Saccharomyces cerevisiae S288C: one gene and its partner. The gene in region 1 interacts genetically with each later gene. Each region holds a gene or a part of one and is shown on either strand. Other genes may lie near its edges. The genes, in order: YOR387C and ZNG1.

Region 1 (3,242 bases):
CTTTTCAATGGCAGAGGTGATATTGTTCAGAGAGTAGAGAAATTGGAGGATATGGTTGCTCAGTCAGATGTTGTTACCATCAACTGTCCATTGCACAAGGACTCAAGGGGTTTATTCAATAAAAAGCTTATTTCCCACATGAAAGATGGTGCATACTTGGTGAATACCGCTAGAGGTGCTATTTGTGTCGCAGAAGATGTTGCCGAGGCAGTCAAGTCTGGTAAATTGGCTGGCTATGGTGGTGATGTCTGGGATAAGCAACCAGCACCAAAAGACCATCCCTGGAGGACTATGGACAATAAGGACCACGTGGGAAACGCAATGACTGTTCATATCAGTGGCACATCTCTGGATGCTCAAAAGAGGTACGCTCAGGGAGTAAAGAACATCCTAAATAGTTACTTTTCCAAAAAGTTTGATTACCGTCCACAGGATATTATTGTGCAGAATGGTTCTTATGCCACCAGAGCTTATGGACAGAAGAAATAAGAGTGATTATGAGTATTTGTGAGCAGAAGTTTTCCGGTCTCCTTTTGTTCTTGTTTTGGCGTATTCTCCACTATTCGTCCATAGCACATTTATACCTTAGCTAAATATTTTGTAAAGCAAAATTTTCGTTATCTCTTAAAAAATAGAAGAGCGGTTTATTAATATCAAATAATTGAAACTGCTGATATGGTAGCTATATACAAAATCTGCTGTCAAAATTTGGCAGTAAACGATCTTCACGGTAGCGGTTCAAATAAAGAGGAAAAGTCTTTCTCCCTTACTGTTTTTCTGGAATTTGGCTCGTCGTTAATAACAGAACTAAAGATACAGTAAAAGGAGAGATCGCAATCAACTTCATTAATTGTAACAGTAGCATAATCACAACTGATCATCTACACTATAAACAGTTTTTATTTCTAATTATGGGCGCCTGGCCGGCTCAAACATTGTGCTTTTAAGACTCCAAAAGTATCTGCTGCAGAAAAGAGCCATATAATGTTAAGTGTTCAGGGATAGGTTATCGCTTACTACTTCAAACGTTTCGAAGGAAAGCCAGGGAAGCCTATATCTGATTCCCTGTTTCATAATCCAATGCAGCCACTAGCTTATAATTATTTGAACTATTTGTCGAACATCACAGTAATAAAATCCCCAGAAAGTTCCACTTGCTGCATATTGGCACCTGTTGATTCACTCTCCATCACTTTTTTGTTAGCCGCCCAGCCTAGAAAGTCTTTAAATACATCTGAAATTTTTTTTTTTTTAACAGTGCACCCGTGCATCATACCTCATGCAAGGTACCTTTTTTTCTCAAAGGTATTGTCTTCCATTGAAGTGGCACTATGGCATGATGAACCCTGAGCATTTCTGAATTCAACAGAACCAAATTGTCCAGAAATAAATCTGTCCGACATGAATTATGAAACTTTTTTTCAATTAAGTGAAGAGAATTTTGCAGCGTCTTACCATTATTTTGACCCATTGGTCGCATGTTTGCGCTTTGACTTCGAGAACCATGTTAAAGCTTACTTGTACGACAACCAATGAAGTATATTACGGCAGTTTTTTTGGACTGGGTCAAAAAAAGTGTTGCATAATCAAATCAGGAACACATTAAAATGTTGTAAAATTTGTCTTAGTATCACCTGAGTGGTTATTCATTACGTACTACTGTCAAAATATTCGGATCTTTCCTAAACGGGCTTTTGAATTAGTGTTGCTTCTATTCCTGGAATGGAAGGTAATACTTTCATGCATTCTCGCTTTTCGGACTTTTAACAATAAATTAAAAACAATGATACTTTCATCAACTACCTATACACCCTGCGGGTCAATTATTTTTTTTTCGAATAACCGCTGAGGTTGGAAATATAGAAACATATTCCAGATCTGTATTTTCAGTTGCTAGAAAAAGGTTAATATAATCATTAAGGTTTTCAGCATATAACAGGTATAATTGATATATAAGCATCGTAATTTTCATTCAAAATGGAGAGCTACTGCTTCTGATAGATTGTACAATCTCAAGAAATCAAGAACAACAACCATACCATGAGTTTCCTAAACATTTTTACTTTTTTCAGCGTCCTTGTGTCTGTTGCAACAGCCGTCAGATTTGATTTGACTAACGTCACTTGTAATAACCTACATGGACCTCACTGTGGTACCTACGTTATGGAAGTCGTTGGCCAAAATGGTACATTTTTGGGTCAATCTACGTTTGCTGGTGCCGACGTTTTAACTGAAAGCGCTGGTGACGCTTGGGCAAGATATTTGGGCCAGGAAACAAGATTCCTCCCAAAGTTGACTACTATTGCTAGCAATGATACGAAGAACTTTTCTCCACTAATCTTCACCACCAATATCTACACTTGTAACCCTCAATCCATTGGTGATGCTATGGTTCCTTTTGCTAACACTGTTACTGGTGAAATTGAATACAACTCTTGGGCAGACACCGCTGATAATGCTTCCTTCATAACCGGTTTAGCTAACCAATTGTTTAACTCTACTCAGTATGGCGTTCAAGTTGCTTCCTGTTACCCAAACTTTGCTTCTGTTATTTTGAGCACCCCAACTGTGAACATTTTCGCTGCGAATGAGACATTACCAGATTATTGTACCGCCATCCAGTTGAAGGCCGTTTGTCCACCAGACGCTGGTTTTGCTTGATTTTTTCCAGCTGCATAATCTGTAGACATATTTTAAGTATATTTTTTAGGCAGTTTTATAAATTAACAGACTATAATTATTTTAGAGAAAAAGACCCAGATTTATACTTCTGACTTTTCTTTTTTATGTTGATCTTATTGTCACTGTCATTGGATCATAATAATGATTCTTTTTTGAACTTCTCTTGAAAGTATCCTCTTATTCTCTTTTGATGATAGGTCCAAATGCACGTGTACTTAGAGATTAGAGCGCAGATGGTTTTCTTGTCAACATCATATCAATTGTTTGCCGAACCAAAATACAACGTTGACTTGATCGTTCCTAGGTCCATCAGCTACTGCACATTCTTACGAGTTATTCATCCGTGAAATATAGCTACATTTTCGAGCATATCTTGAAGTGGTCCATTCTCAACATCACCCTTTCAATTACGCGTGTTTTAAAATACCCAACGTCGTCAGAATCCGACTGATCATCATGGTAAGACTATTGCTCCAAGCAATCTAACCAAGGCATTCTCTTTTCCCTTTTAATTAGTTCACAGTCACTGGCAAACAATCTTCTCTAATCAAAAAAAGAAA
Region 2 (3,907 bases), on another chromosome or scaffold:
GGAAGAAGCCGGCCGTCTCATAACAATAGACTTATACGGGACTATGGTGCCCAAGACAGTAATGACTTTTTGCCAGTATGTTGATAGTGTAAAAGATCGCCTTGCTTCCCGTCACAGTTACTCGCCAGAACGCGATTTTGATAAAATTCTACCGAATGGAGCTATAGAAGGTAGCTCCGTTTCTTCCTCCTCTATTGAAGAAACGGAAATGTTGGCTCCAAAACTCCCGGAAGAAAATCATAGTTTAATTCATGATAGGCCAGGCAGAGTTTCCATGATTAAGGACGATAAGGGTCTTAAGTTTATAATTGAGACCAGTGAGACGCCACTTGAAGGTGAAAGTGTTGTGTTTGGCCAAGTTACCGCCGGGTTAAAAGATCTGATGGATAAACTAGCTAATGTGAAAACTGACGAAAATGGCAAACCAGAGCAACCAATAACAATAGGTTACATTTCATCCCAGGAACACAGGATTCAGCATGCAAAGGAAGCTCACGAAAAGTATTTACAAAGGCTTCAAGATTACCAAAACGGCGATTTGGAGAAAGGTATTACATTGAAGAATTATTTATACCAGGGTAGTCAAAGAAAGTTAGAAGACGCAAAATATAATCAGCTTCACCATCCTTTACCAAAGATTATGCTTGGTATTTCGGTATTGTTACTTTTCTACGTTTTGGCCAAGTACAGGAAAAGAATATTCAACAGATCGTCTAAAATAGTTTCTATTAGAGAGGATTAAAATGTTTCGATCCATCCGCTTAATATTCATTCATTTTGTATCACATACATACGTATAAATATACATAACTTACCTCGTCTTTATTATGCCAACCATCATTCCAGGGTTTTACGTAACAGTTCCTCTATGGATTCCTTTTCTAGGTACTTCCCAATCAGCACAATTTTACACTCTTTATTGGATCCGTCATATTTGCCTGGAAAGACATCGTAGGTGTCGCGGACGCCTTGGATTACACGAGCAATGGGGTTCTCTCCTTCAATAAGTATCAGACCTTTAGTTCTTTGTACTTCCCAATCACGGCCGTCATCTCGGCGACGCCCTCCCAGCACTGTCATGGCTCCAAAATTCTTCCACAATAAAGGTTGCAAAAATTGCTTAATAAACTTATTATTATATTCTTCCTCGTTTTTTAATGGTCTGAAAGTAAGCATTATTGTGCCCATTCGATCATCATGAATGGTACCGTTTCCGCTACCACTATCTAAGATGTCAGATATCCGTACACTGTCGTATGCATGAATATCTAGTAAATTTTGAATCGGCGTATCACTATACTTGGTGAAGAACATCGGTGCGATAGAATTTATTTCCCGTACTCTTTCTTTTAATTGTTTGACCATTTCTGGTGAATGTTCGATAGTATCGTATTTGTTCATTATAATTCGATCAGCCATGGCTAGTTGGAAGTGTGCAATAGTCAGATTCCCCTCCAAACCAACTTTGTCACCATGCCAATGGGCATCGATGGAAATATCATCTAAGCATTTTAGTATATGCTCACAATCCAAAACCGTGATGATCCCGTCAATGTAAACGCTGCTATTCAATCCTTCGTCCTGCCAGAACATTTTCGCAATGGGGGCGGGATCTGCAATACCGGAGGTCTCTAAAAGGATATAATCGATTTTACCAGGTGAACGCTCCACCATATCTTCGATGGCTTTAACACCTATATTTTTCAACGAACAACACAGACACCCGTTACCCAAATCCAACCATTCTTGGTAGCTGTTCGATCCATTTTTAATGGTCATAGCCTTTTCGATTTCACTAGAATCTCCAAATTCATTTAAAATTACGGCAATTTTTTTATCTGCACCTTTTAATGCAATTTTTTCCAGCAACGTCGATTTACCTGATCCTAGATAGCCGGTAATAATGCTCACAGGAATACGCTTTTTCTCGTGCACATCTGTTGCGCCTGCAGAAGTGTTCTCCACTTGCTTGTTTACCCTTTCAACTTTTGCATCGCTAACAATATTTCCACCATCATACGAGACATTTTCCAAAATTTCTTGTAGATTATTTTCTTCACCTGTTACGAGGCAGGGTAGTTCACCATCTTCTTCTTCATTGAACTTGATGTTTCTCAATGCAGACATTCTTCCGCTTTAAAAGTTGAAAATTCCTCAATGAAAAGGGTGTTCTTGGCTTTACAAGCGCATTAAACATTTAATATTATATAATATTTATAATATACATGTTATTCCAATAGTGAAAAAAAAAAAAAAATGAAAATGAAAATGAAAAATTCGGCCCTTAAAAATGAACAACCTTTTACCAGCCGGCATTAAATGTCGTGGCACTTCACAGTTTATAACGCAAGGAATTTACTAATAGCAAGTGAAACCATTAACGATTAGTGTTGTTAAAAGAGTTGAATAAAGCCATTAAACAACGATTCAGTTGACAATGCGTTGGTCTGTCCTTGATACAGTGCTATTGACCGTGATTTCCTTTCATCTAATCCAAGCTCCATTCACCAAGGTGGAAGAGAGTTTTAATATTCAAGCCATTCATGATATTTTAACCTACAGCGTATTTGATATCTCCCAATATGACCACTTGAAATTTCCTGGAGTAGTCCCTAGAACATTCGTTGGTGCTGTGATTATTGCAATGCTTTCGAGACCTTATCTTTACTTGAGTTCTTTGATCCAAACTTCCAGGCCTACGTCTATAGATGTTCAATTGGTCGTTAGGGGGATTGTTGGCCTCACCAATGGGCTTTCTTTTATCTATTTAAAGAATTGTTTGCAAGATATGTTTGATGAAATCACTGAAAAGAAAAAGGAAGAAAATGAAGACAAGGATATATACATTTACGATAGCGCTGGTACATGGTTTCTTTTATTTTTAATTGGCAGTTTCCACCTCATGTTCTACAGCACTAGGACTCTGCCTAATTTTGTCATGACTCTGCCTCTAACCAACGTCGCATTGGGGTGGGTTTTATTGGGTCGTTATAATGCAGCTATATTCCTATCTGCGCTCGTGGCAATTGTATTTAGACTGGAAGTGTCAGCTCTCAGTGCTGGTATTGCTCTATTTAGCGTCATCTTCAAGAAGATTTCTTTATTCGATGCTATCAAATTCGGTATCTTTGGCTTGGGACTTGGTTCCGCCATCAGTATCACCGTTGATTCATATTTCTGGCAAGAATGGTGTCTACCTGAGGTAGATGGTTTCTTGTTCAACGTGGTTGCGGGTTACGCTTCCAAGTGGGGTGTGGAGCCAGTTACTGCTTATTTCACGCATTACTTGAGAATGATGTTTATGCCACCAACTGTTTTACTATTGAATTACTTCGGCTATAAATTAGCACCTGCAAAATTAAAAATTGTCTCACTAGCATCTCTTTTCCACATTATCGTCTTATCCTTTCAACCTCACAAAGAATGGAGATTCATCATCTACGCTGTTCCATCTATCATGTTGCTAGGTGCCACAGGAGCAGCACATCTATGGGAGAATATGAAAGTAAAAAAGATTACCAATGTTTTATGTTTGGCTATATTGCCCTTATCTATAATGACCTCCTTTTTCATTTCAATGGCGTTCTTGTATATATCAAGAATGAATTATCCAGGCGGCGAGGCTTTAACTTCTTTTAATGACATGATTGTGGAAAAAAATATTACAAACGCTACAGTTCATATCAGCATACCTCCTTGCATGACAGGTGTCACTTTATTTGGTGAATTGAACTACGGTGTGTACGGCATCAATTACGATAAGACTGAAAATACGACTTTACTGCAGGAAATGTGGCCCTCCTTTGATTTCTTGATCACCCACGAGCCAACCGCCTCTCAATTGCCATTCGAGAATAAGACTACCAACCATTGGGAGCTAGTTAACACAACAAAGATGTTTACTGGA

The links.
Region 2: mutations in YOR387C (region 1) and ZNG1 together harm fitness more than expected from each alone (negative genetic interaction), as found in Saccharomyces cerevisiae (one large-scale study listed by BioGRID).

Annotation. Positions count from the first base shown.
Region 1 is NC_001147.6:1,069,040-1,072,281, reverse strand, and holds YOR387C (uncharacterized protein), read left to right. Parts: upstream 1-2,040; coding exon 2,041-2,661; downstream 2,662-3,242. Other genes in the region: FDH1 (formate dehydrogenase (NAD+)), read left to right, coding at 1-489.
Region 2 is NC_001146.8:676,362-680,268, forward strand, and holds ZNG1 (GTP-dependent zinc transferase), read right to left. Parts: upstream 2,128-3,907; coding exon 838-2,127; downstream 1-837. Other genes in the region: peptidylprolyl isomerase family protein CPR8, read left to right, coding at 1-742; ALG12 (dolichyl-P-Man:Man(7)GlcNAc(2)-PP-dolichol alpha-1,6-mannosyltransferase), read left to right, coding at 2,438-3,907. UniProt on the Saccharomyces cerevisiae protein: Zinc chaperone that directly transfers zinc cofactor to target metalloproteins, thereby activating them.